Linked DNA regions of Alligator mississippiensis. The protein of the gene in region 1 purifies or fractionates together with the protein of each later gene. This does not show direct contact. Links are inferred from orthologs where the notes say so. Each region holds a gene or a part of one and is shown in the gene's direction. Other genes may lie near its edges.

Region 1 (3,741 bases):
ATGGAGGGCCTGCTTGTTGCAAGGAAGTGCAAACCTCTGAGACTTCCAGAATAAAAGTAATGTGTTTTATTTTTCTTGAATGCATGGAGTAAAGAACACTAATGCTTCCCCCTTTCATAACTCTTCTGGGCAAGTCTGGTTATGAGGCGCACACGTGGGGAAGACACAGGTAGCCTAGATCCTCCTTGGATCCTCTGAATGTCATCATCATGTAGATAAGATACAAGTAAAGGCAAGCGTCATGCGGAGAGCTCACAAAGAGACACTGTGTACATGTGGGAAGCTGCAGCTTTATGCCCTATGATCTGTACTAGTGCTCACTATACATCTTGAAGGGGAGACCCGGACCTAACACTCCAGCAAGCCACCTACAGCCACCATGCTCATCTATTTCAGCATACTGATGATGCTCTGAGGAGTGCTACGGCAGTTTGGGGTCTGAGGACCTATTATTTATTGTTACGTGCCCACATTAGGAGGTGGGAAACCTTTCCAGCAAAGGAAAGGTACATCTACAGATATATCTACAGTCTCCCCCCAAACAAGTGAAATTCTAGTTCCACTGAAGTCACTGTGAGTTTTGCCATGAGCTTTGCTGTTAAGAGCCCAAAAAACATGGAGTCCAAATGCTTGATCCCTTTTTTCCCCCAAAAAACATATCTAGGTTCAAAGGAAAGAAGATAAACAAGTGTTTCATTCCCCTGCCCCAAAATATATTAAAGATATAGACAGCCTCAATCTGCTGAGGAACTGACAACTTATTGCTGGAGCCACATCAACAAAAATTTAAGCTGTGGAAGGACGGACTCCCCCTCTCCGTGAGCTTGGGATCGGCCCCTGGGTAACTCCCTGGATCCTGGCACCTTCCCTTGGATTCCTCTTCTTTTAGGTGTTAACTGTGTGGGAGGAAATGCTGGCCACCATTTTGCTGCACTGCTGAGATTTTTTTTTCTGGGTGGTGGCGTGTAGCGGGGGCAGGGTGTGGAGCTTTGCTCTGCTGTTTGGTTAGGGTTAAATGGATTTCACCCTGTGTCCCCCAATCCTTTTGGCAGGGTAAAATCTAAAAGCCCCCCACCCCAAGGAAGGAGATCCTACATTCCTTTAACTTTCAAAGATATAATCTAAATCTAAACCAGGAAGGCAAAATGGAGAACAAGTCTGCCTTTGGATTATTAATGCTCCGCCTGTGCATATTCCAGGTTGGGAGTGCTTTTAAATAGGAGTTTCTTTGAAATATGACAAACGATGAAGAATAGCAACAACAACAACACTATGGTGCTGCCTCCCCTCTACCCCCCAATAAAACAATCTGAAGAGGGTCCCCCTGTGTCCATATCCGCGTGTGTCTGTGTGTGGCCTAGTCCCATTCATCATTTAGCTCCCACTGCCCAACTCTCTCCATTTTGAAAATTATGCATGATACACTGAAGAGACAATTTGGGTTTCCCCCACCTCTCCCCTGCCCTTGAAGAAAGCAAGCCCTTGTCTCATTTGCATTTGCATTAAACCCTGCTTCTGTATAAGCTAAGCAAAGGGGAAGGACTCCAAGCCTATGGGATGGCTTTAGGGCTCTGCCCCTTGCTTTTGGCTTCTCTCTCTCTCTCTCATTCTCTCCGCTGCTTTGATCTCTGCTTAACAACAGTCACGTCACAGGGACTAAACTATACAGGAGAGTTTTGTTGGAAGTTGGAAAGTTTTTCAGCCTCCAGAGGGCTGTAGCGGCAGTAGCAGCAAGCAGCATCCAAGGGACTCCTGGAAGGGGAAGAGAGAGAGAGAGAGAGGGACGAGCCTTGAGTCAGTCCTTTAGAAACCTGACTGTGGAAGAAGGAGGCAGACATGGAACATCAGCTGCTGTGCTGCGAGGTGGAAACCATCCGAAGAGCCTACCTAGACGCCAACCTACTGAATGACAGGGTCCTGCTGGCCATGCTGAAGGCGGAGGAGACCTGCACGCCCTCGGGCTTCTACTTCAAGTGCGTGCAAAAGGAGATCTTGCCCTACATGCGGAAAATAGTGGCCACTTGGATGCTGGAGGTGCGTATGTCCGGGGCATCGCTCCTGCCGGAGCCCGGAGGGGATGGACCCCGGGAGACCCCCGAAACCCTACAGCAGCGCCGGACATCCCGCGGCGGGGAGGGAGGGAGAGAGGGAAGGAGAGAGGGAGGCAGCAGCGTGCCCGGCTCCGGATCCAGCCGCACCATCAAGGCAGCGCGGCTCCCCCCCAAGCCTGCTGCATTGAAGGGGTCTTCATGCCCCCCCAGCTTGCAAATCCACCTCCTCCCCGCCTTCCCCCAAATAAAATCAGAATTAAAAAAAAAAAAAGTTTCCATCTCTGGCGTCCTGCCCCCCTCGCCCCCTCTTTAAGGGGGGGGGATTTTTTTTTTTTTAATTTTAAATGAATATCCCCGTACACGTATGCAGGCGCCGGCCGTGCCAGTATTCCGCGCCATCTTTGTTCTTTCCCTCGCTTTTTTTTTTTTTTTTTTTTTGGGGGGGGGGGGGTAATCAATGATACTGCAAAGCGGCCGGGGTCGGGGGCCGGGGTCGGGGGCCGGGCCCTGGCCCTTTGTTGGCGGCGGCGCGGGGCTGCAGGCGCGGTGCCCCCGCGAGGCGCGCTGCGGCCGGGGCGTCCGGCGCGGGGCAGGCGGCCCGCAGCCCCCTGGGGACGGGCGTGCGGGCGGGCGCCGCCGTGGGGCCCGGGCAGCGCGACCCCCGGAGCCCGGGCCACATTGTGGTGGCCGCCCCTCCGCGCTGGGCGCCCGCCGACTATTTTTAATTAATTTCTGAAGGCGGCCCGCGCGGTCCCTGCCGCCGCACGCGGCTGGCTGGCCGGGTGGAGGAGGGGAGCGGGGGGGACCCGGGGTTTTGCTTTCGGGGGACCGCCGTGCCGGCCTCCCCGCCCGGCTTGCCGAGCCGGCTGGGTCAAGCCGCCCCCGAGGGGCATTTTCAGGCCCTTGAGGAGGCTCGGGAGATTTTTTAAATATTTTTAAATATTTTTTGAAAAGATGACGTCTGGGGAAATGCGGCCGGCGGACGCCACCTTTGTGTCTGGAGTGCGGCTTCGCCCCCGGCGGCTGGCAGCGCTGCTGAGGGGATCCCACCCGGCTGGGATCCACCGGGTCCTGTGGATCCCCCACTCCATCGATCCAGGGGAATGACCCCCCCCTTTTTTTTTCTTTTAACCCCACATTTTTACGTAGCCTTCCCCCCATTCACTCAGTTTTGTTCCTCTCATCCTCCCCCTTCCCACATGGGTTTTATTCAGGGCATTTTCACATATCCCCTCCTCTCCCCAATATTCAGCCCTGCAGCCCGAGCGCAAAGGGGGAGGGAAGGGAGTGGGGCTTGACTCCCTATTGATGCCAGGCCTCCTTTCAACGACCTCTCTGGTTTGGCAGGTTTGTGAGGAGCAGAAATGCGAAGAGGAGGTGTTCCCCTTGGCTATGAATTACTTGGACAGGTTTTTGTCCTTCGAGCCCCTCAAGAAGAGCCGGTTGCAGCTGCTGGGAGCGACCTGCATGTTCGTGGCTTCGAAAATGAAGGAAACCATCCCGCTGACGGCAGAGAAGCTGTGCATTTACACCGACAACTCCATCAGGCCCGACGAATTACTGGTAATTTGGGGCTCACCTCCTCGGGAGACCCAAATCCAATCCCGCCCAATGCAGACAGACCACTGGAAGCAAGATCGGGAAAGGGGGGGAGGGACAAAAAAGGCTCCAGAGAAGAAATTGCGGCTGA
Region 2 (3,741 bases), on another chromosome or scaffold:
ACATCTCTGAAATCCCATCTTTGATGATCATGAAATCGACCCAAACCAAACTCTAGCAGGGTCTTTCCTATCCTGCTGTACGGGTGTGAAACCTGGATGCCATGTTGGAAGCATCTGGAAGCTTTGGAAGATAATTGCTGGTGATGTTTTCAGGAAATTCTCCATCTCAACTGGAAAGAAGAATGAATGCTAGCTTTCTGGATCAAGGAAGCTCTACCAGAATTGAAGTTGTGTTTGTATGACGCTAGCTTTATTGGTTAGAACGTTATAAGGGTGCCTGACAGCCAGCCCCCGAAACAGGTCCTATACTCCCAACTCACTGATGGTCACTGCTCTAGACTCAAATACTGAATCACCCCCATGTACAAGGTATGAAACTCACCTCACTACAGAGGTGGATAGAGGAGAGACACAAAGAGAGAGCTGTGACCTGATCTGCTCCTTCCTCCCAGAGCTACTTCTCATATCTGCAGACAACATGAGGATCTCAGACTGGGCTCCTCAGCCATCTCGGCTCTCTGAGGACTCCCCTATTCACCAAAAAACTATCCTTCTGGTAGTGGGGGGCTGCCAACATTGTTACCTTAGAAGAGCCAGTATCAAAAATCAAAGGTCCACCAGGGCCTAATGGTCCCTCAGACTAGCATGGTTAAGGCGTGCAATGGGGGCGTGTGACTACTTTGTCCAACCTCCGCCAACTCCCAAGCTTGAATGATGGAGCAGCCATCTCTTGCTGGGCTGGGTGGACTGCGTGGGGCGGGGGAGCTGCGGCTCAAGTCCAGAGCAAAACTCCAGCTGGTTTCTGGACACACAGCAGGCCGAGGGCCAGCCCCAAGCGCGCGCGCCCTTCGTGCAGTAATGCAGTAGTAGCGGCTGCCCTGGCACCAGGTCACAAGAGTAAAGGCTTCAAGAACACGCGGAGCAGACAAGACCGAGCTCCTTCTGCAGCAGAGCGTCTCCGCCAGCGCGGGGACACTCCTGGCGCGGCGGCCCGGCCCGGCCCGGCGCGGCACACCGGCACGAACAGCTCCAGCTCCGCGGACTAGCGACCGGCAGGGGCGCAGGTCTGCGCCGGCTTCCTCCAGGCGGGGGCGGGGCCGCAGCAGGGACCGCCCCGCCCCGCCCCGCGCGGGAAGGACGCGGTCTCGCGAGGGCCGCGGGGGGCGGGGCGCCGGCCATGGCGAAAACCGTGGCCTATTTCTACGACCCGGACGTGGGCAACTTCCACTACGGTAAGCGCGGCGGGGCGGGCAGGAGGCCCCGGGGCAACCCCTCTCCGCTGGCCGAGCCGCGTGCGTGGCCGCCTCCCCCGTCCCCTGTCAGCGCCGAGGCCCGGCCCGGCCCGTTGGCCGTAAGCGCCGAGGCGGCTCTGGGGGGGCGCGGGTGGCTTGGCCGAGGCAGGCAGGGCCGGGCTGCTCCTGGGAGGGGAGGGCTGCGCGGCCGGAGTCAGTCGGGTCAGCCCCGTGGTGCTGCGGCCCCTGCTCACTGGGAGCCCCGCGTGTGCCTGACTCACCCGCTCCTCCCTCCGTGTGTTGCAGGGGCGGGACATCCCATGAAGCCTCATCGCCTGGCGCTCACTCACAGCCTCGTGCTGCACTACGGGCTCTACAAGAAGATGATTGTAAGCATCACGGGCGGAGACCAGCAAGACTGGTCTGCTGGGGCTGGTGGTCCTTGCCTTGCGCAGTCTTGTCTAGGAGGTAGACGAAATAGTTACGTCTAAGTGTGCCTGTGAAGTGCAGTCCAGCCTGAGCCATTGTAGCTATCAGTCTAGAACAGGGGTGGGCAAAATACGGGCAAGTGACTGGATCTGGTCCATGGATGCCCCTGTGGCAAATCCCACCTGCTCCTGCTGGCCCAGGGCCAGATCTTGACCGGTGTGCACAGCTCCCAGTGGGGATGTTCCCAGTGCTGCTGCACTTCCCTCACCTCCGGTGGAGCTGCCAGCTGAAGCGTCCCTCTGCTCTTCCAGAGTGGCACAGCAGGGGCGGGAGCTGGAGGCAGGGCAAGCAGAGCAGCACCTGACGAGCTGGAAGCTGCATGCTGTGGGGCTGTTCTGCTCCCCGCATCTCCAGTTGCAGCTCCTGCCCCTGGCACAGCTGTGGACTGCACTGCCTGGGTGAGCTCTGCTGCATGTGCATTTTCCAAGACCTTTCCCGGGGTAGAAGTCAGGCTGATGGGCCTGTAGTTTGCTGGATCCACTTTCCTCCCTTTCTTGAAGATAGACACCACATTGGCCTTCTTTCAATCTTCGGGCACTTCATCAGAACACCAGGAGTTCTTGAAGATCTTTGCCAGGGACTGGGCTATGATGCTAGCCAGCTCCTTGAGTACCCTGGGGTGTAGATTGTCAGGGCCAGCTGACTTGAAGGTGTCCAGCCTCTCAAGGTGTTCCTTCACAAGGTCAGGATTGATGGAGGGCAAGGAATCTCCCTCACCCAGGTCATCCCTGACCACTATGGGACAGGGAGTCCCGTGGGATTGATGAAAGACTGACACAAAATACTCATTTAGTAAGCTGGCTTTTTCCTTGGTGTCGGTTTTCAGTTGTCCCATCTGTTTTAACAGGGGTCCAATGTTGCCCTTTCTTTTTCCTCTGGCTCCCCACTTATCTAAAAAAGGACTTTTTATTGCCCTTGATACTTGTAGCTGGTTGTAGTTCATTTGTAGCCTTGGCTTTCCTCATTCGCTCCCTGCAGGTCCGGACCAATGCGGAATATTCCTCTTTGGAGGTGGATCCCGTCCTCTATTCTTTGTAGGTCTTTCTCTTTAGCTGCAGGAGGTCTGCTAGTTCCCTGGAGAGCCAAGGGGGCTGCTGTGCCCTTTTGCTGCCTTTCCTCCGAGATGGAATAGCATTAGCTTGTGCATCAAGGATCGCTCCCTTGAGGAGCGACCAGTCTTCCTGAACTCCCCTCCCCTATGGGTCGTGGTCCCTTAGGGCTTCACTGGCAAGCCTCCTCAGCTTGTCACAGTCAGCTTTCTTGAAGTCAAGGACTTCTGTGTTGCTGTCTTGCCAGCTTTATGGCAGATGGTGAAGGTGATCAGCTCGTGGTCGCTGTCACCCAGCTTCCCTTTGATCGTTAGATTGCTCCCAGTTGCCAGTATCAGGTCGAGCAGTGCTTTACCTCTCCTTGGCTTGTAGACTTCTTGTGTCAGATAAATGTTGTGCGTGGATGACCTCTACCTTGATTCCTGCATCTAAGCATTTTGTGACCTGGTCATAAAAAGAAACAAGGTTAGTCAGGCAGGATCTACCTGCTATGAATACGTGCTGGTTGCCCTTTAGCATTGCTTTCCCTGCTGGACTCCCACAAATGTGATCCTTAATAATTTTTTCAAAGGTTTTCCTGAGGATAGAGGTGAGACTAATCTGTCTATAGTTACTTGGATCCTCCTTCCTCCCCTTCTTGAAAATAGGGACTGTGCTGGCCCTTTTCCAGTCCTCTGGGACCTGACTTGAGCACCAAGAGTGCTCAAATAGCTGTGCCAGTGGCTCTGCTATGACACTGGCCAATTCCTTCAGCTGCCATGAAAAATGGAGAACATATTTTCTCCATCATTACATTGGATGGGATGCATAGCCATGGCTTGGAGTTCCAGGTTTTGATTGGATGCCAGAGAAAAAAACATTTATAAACAGCTGAGATATTCTAAGCAGCATGCCATGTGGACCACGCCAGTGCAAGCCATGGGCTTTCCAGGCCTCATGCTTTACAGGGAATCCTGCCCCATAACCACTGT
Region 3 (3,741 bases), on another chromosome or scaffold:
CCACCCAGAGCCCCGCCGCGCTGCCCCGCCGCCTGCACTGCAGAGCCCTGCTCCCTGCCCCAACGCGCTGCCCTGCCGCCCGCACCGCAGAGCCCAGGGCCCCGATGTGCCACCCACACCGTGCCACCCAGCGCCCCGACGCGCTGCCCTGCCGCCCGCACCGCAGAGCCCAGTGCCCCGGTGCGCTGCCCGCACTGCGCTGCCCGCACTGTGTCGCCCAGCGCCCCGACGCGCTGCCCCGCCGCCTGCACTGCAGAGCCCTGCTCCCTGCCCCGACGCGCTGCCCTGCCGCCCGCACCGCAGAGCCCAGTGCCCCGGTGTGCTGCCCGCACTGTGCCGCCCAGTGCCCCGACACGCTGCCTGCACTGCAGAGCCCTGCTCCCCGCCCCGCCGCGCTGCCCTGCCGCCCGCACCACAGAGCCCAGGGCCCCGATGTGCCACCCACACCGTGCCACCCAGCGCCCCGACGCGCTGCCCTGCCGCCCGCACCGCAGAGCCCAGGGCCCCGACGTGTTGCTCTCGCCATGCCGCCCAACACGATGCCCTGCGCCCTGCCGCCGCACGGCGATGCCCAGCGCCCGACGCGCCGTGTATCCCTGCCCGCTGCCCCGAGGCGCCCCCGCGCCCCCGCCTCGGGGAGGGGCAGCGATGTCACGGTGGCGGGCGGCCGCGTGCCCCGCGCATGGTGCCAGCCCCCCCGCCCCGCCCCGCCCCGCCCCGCCCCGCTCACCTGCACGGGGGGCCCGGCCTGGGGGGGCCACACCCCGCACGTGGCACGAGGGGGCACCCCGGGCTGCCTGGGCAAAAGGGGGCAATCCCGGGGGGGCCGCGCTCACCTGCCGCCGCCTGCGCCGGGGGGAGGAGGGGGGGGCCGCGGCTCCTTCCTCCCCCCGCAGGCCCCGCCCCCCCGGACTGCCCCCCATTGCCCGGGGAGAGGGGAAAGGGGCGGGGCGCGGTGCACGCCGGGCGTTGTAGTCCCGCGGGGCGGGGCGGGGCGGGGCGGGGCGGCGCGGTGCATGCCGGGAGACGGAGTGGTCGCGGGGCAGGCCGGGAGGTGTAGTGCGGCGCGGGGCGGCGCGGGGCGCGGAGCCATGCAGAAATACGAGAAGCTGGAGAAGATCGGGGAAGGTGCGGGCCGGGCCGGGCCGGGCCGGGCCGGGCGGGCGGGGGGGGGGGGCAGGGTTGGACCCGGGATCGGGCCCATCCATGCGCGGGGGCGGGGCGCGGGATCGGGCCCGCTGACCCCCCGCCCCGCCCCGCCCCGCCCCCCCCGCAGGGACGTACGGGACCGTGTTCAAGGCCAAGAACCGGGAGACGCACGAGATCGTGGCGCTGAAGCGGGTGCGGCTGGACGACGACGACGAGGTGCGGGGGGGAGGGGCACCGCGACACGTGGGTCGGGGTGGGGGGGCACGTGCCCCCCCTTGACCCGTGGCCGGTGCCGCCGCAGGGGGTGCCCAGCTCGGCGCTGCGCGAGATCTGCCTGCTCAAGGAGCTGAAGCACAAGAACATCGTCAGGTCGGGATCGGGGCCGGGGCGGGGTGGGGGTGGGGGTCCGGGCCCCGGCCCCGCCCCGGCTCACGGCCCTGTCCGCAGGCTGCACGACGTGCTGCACAGCGACAAGAAGCTGACGCTGGTCTTCGAGTTCTGCGACCAGGTAGGGCCGCGGGGGGCCGCGGGGCCCCCACCCCCGCTGTGACCCCTGACCCGACCCCTGACCCCGCGCTGTCCCGCCCAGGACCTCAAGAAGTACTTCGACAGCTGCAACGGGGACCTGGACCCCGAGATCGTCAAGGTGGGCGCGGGGCGCGGGGGGCGGCGCTGGACCCGCGTCGGCGTCGGTGCCGGTGCCGGGCGGCGCTGATACCGCGCTCCTCCGCAGTCCTTCATGTACCAGTTGCTGAAGGGCCTCGGCTTCTGCCACAGCCGCAACGTGCTGCACCGCGACCTCAAGCCCCAAAACCTGCTCATCAACCGGGTGAGTCGGGGCGCCGGGGCCGGGGCCGGGGCCGGGGGGGCTGGCAGCGCGCGGGGCGGCCGTGACGCCGCGCCGTGCTCCGCAGAACGGGGAGCTCAAGCTGGCGGATTTCGGCCTGGCCCGCGCCTTCGGCATCCCCGTGCGCTGCTACTCGGCCGAGGTGAGTGCGCGCCCGCGGCCCTCGCGCCGTGCGGGGCACCCCCACCATGCCACGGCGCGTGGGGGGACTGCCTTGCACCACCCCGCACCTCGGTGCTGCCGGGGTCGAGCGCCCACCTGCCCCCGCCCCCCGCGGCGCCCTGCCCCCGTGCCCCTGGCCCGGGGGGGTGTGCGGCGCACTGCCCGTCCGTGCCCCGCAGGTCGTCACGCTGTGGTACCGGCCCCCGGACGTGCTCTTCGGCGCCAAGCTCTACTCCACCTCCATCGACATGTGGTCGGCCGGCTGCATCTTCGCAGGTGCCGGGGCGCGTGGGCCGGCGGCGCGGCGCGGCCTGGCTGGGCTGGGGGCCGGGAGTCTGCCGGCTGCCCGCTGACCCCTCGCGCTCCTCTCCGCAGAGCTGGCCAACGCGGGGCGGCCCCTCTTCCCCGGCAACGACGTGGACGACCAGCTGAAGAGGATTTTCCGATATCCTTGGGTACGAGGGGGCGGGACAGGGCGTGTGGGGGGTCTGTGGCTGCTGGGTGTCGGGCCTCATGGCCCCAAGGTCCCTTCTGGTCCCGTGGCCCTTAACTCGGCCGCCCACGCTGCTGGGCACCCCGACTGAGGAGCAGTGGCCAGCCATGACCAAGCTTCCCGACTACAAGGTAGGCAGGGGCAGCTGCCTGGGACAGGGGCGAGGGGCAGGGAGCCCCCGGACTCACGCCGCCCGTCCCCGCAGCCTTACCCCATGTACCCGGCCACGACGTCGCTGGTGAATGTGGTGCCCAAGCTGAATGCCACCGGCCGGGACCTGCTGCAGGTGAGAGCGCCGCCCCGCCCCGCCAGGGACTCGGCCTCCGCGGCGGGCACGGCCTCGCATGCCTGGGGGGCCCCGGGGTCGTCGTCTCCTGCCCCCTGCGCAGGGGTGGCTGTGCGTCTCTGGCTCCTGCTGCTCCCATGCTGGGGAAGCCTCTCCAGCTGGGCCCCGAATCTGCAGCCCCTGCCGCCCCACCCCGTGCTGCCTTGTGCCCTGTGCGGGCATAGCTGGGTCCCTGCCAAGCGGGGCGTCCTCGGGGCTGCAGCACGTGGGGTGGGAGCCAGCTGCCCCTCTGCCTCCTCTCAGCACCCCCCTTAGCCAGGCCACCTTGGACCCCAGGCTGCCCCAGCTCCTGCGGTAGGGGTGGGTGTCCCGGGGGTGAGGGCATTGCTCCCTGCGGCCGGGCCAGCTCCCTGCTCACGCCACCCCCTTTGCTGCCTCCGCAGAACCTGCTGAAGTGCAACCCGGTGCAGCGGATATCGGCCGAGGAGGCGCTGCAGCACCCCTACTTCACAGACTTCTGCCCCCCCTAGCCAGCCCGGCTCACACCCCGCGCCCTGCTCCAGCACCGCGGGCTGGGGGTGGGGGTGGGGGTGCCGTCTGCGCCGTGCGGAGCAGGCAGATTTTGGGGGGCAGGGCTCTGGCCCCCATCAGGACTGACCCTCCCCTGCCCGTATTTATTAGGTTTCTAACCAGTTGCATTCCTGGCTTGGCTGCAGCCCGGGGAGCACTGGGACCGGGGCAGCTGTAGCCGGCACTGCCCTCTTTCCAGGTCCCCGTAGCCAGCGCCAGCAGCCCTGCCTGCCC

The links.
Region 2: the proteins of CCND1 (region 1) and HDAC3 purify together in Homo sapiens (affinity purification with western blotting; 5 studies listed by BioGRID and IntAct, with this or other methods). This does not show direct contact. The link is inferred for Alligator mississippiensis from reciprocal best matches to the Homo sapiens genes CCND1 and HDAC3.
Region 3: the proteins of CCND1 (region 1) and CDK5 purify together in Homo sapiens (co-immunoprecipitation; 4 studies listed by BioGRID and IntAct, counting the BioPlex papers as one, with this or other methods). This does not show direct contact. The link is inferred for Alligator mississippiensis from reciprocal best matches to the Homo sapiens genes CCND1 and CDK5.

What each region holds. Positions count from the first base shown.
Region 1 is NC_081825.1:215,201,139-215,204,879, forward strand, and holds the start of CCND1 (G1/S-specific cyclin-D1), read left to right. Parts: upstream 1-1,595; 5' UTR 1,596-1,836; coding exon 1,837-2,034; intron 2,035-3,398; coding exon 3,399-3,614; intron 3,615-3,741. UniProt on the Homo sapiens protein: Regulatory component of the cyclin D1-CDK4 (DC) complex that phosphorylates and inhibits members of the retinoblastoma (RB) protein family including RB1 and regulates the cell-cycle during G(1)/S transition.
Region 2 is NC_081832.1:40,858,558-40,862,298, forward strand, and holds the start of HDAC3 (histone deacetylase 3), read left to right. Parts: upstream 1-1,116; 5' UTR 1,117-1,177; coding exon 1,178-1,232; intron 1,233-1,238; exon of another isoform or gene 1,239-1,351; intron 1,352-1,538; coding exon 1,539-1,621; intron 1,622-3,741. UniProt on the Homo sapiens protein: Histone deacetylase that catalyzes the deacetylation of lysine residues on the N-terminal part of the core histones (H2A, H2B, H3 and H4), and some other non-histone substrates.
Region 3 is NC_081828.1:220,005,294-220,009,034, reverse strand, and holds the start of CDK5 (cyclin-dependent kinase 5), read left to right. Parts: upstream 1-1,018; 5' UTR 1,019-1,091; coding exon 1,092-1,128; intron 1,129-1,276; coding exon 1,277-1,365; intron 1,366-1,450; coding exon 1,451-1,518; intron 1,519-1,596; coding exon 1,597-1,657; intron 1,658-1,738; coding exon 1,739-1,795; intron 1,796-1,882; coding exon 1,883-1,978; intron 1,979-2,063; coding exon 2,064-2,138; intron 2,139-2,337; coding exon 2,338-2,434; intron 2,435-2,533; coding exon 2,534-2,603; intron 2,604-2,721; coding exon 2,722-2,782; intron 2,783-2,856; coding exon 2,857-2,937; intron 2,938-3,380; coding exon 3,381-3,467; 3' UTR 3,468-3,741. UniProt on the Homo sapiens protein: Proline-directed serine/threonine-protein kinase essential for neuronal cell cycle arrest and differentiation and may be involved in apoptotic cell death in neuronal diseases by triggering abortive cell cycle re-entry. Interacts with D1 and D3-type G1 cyclins.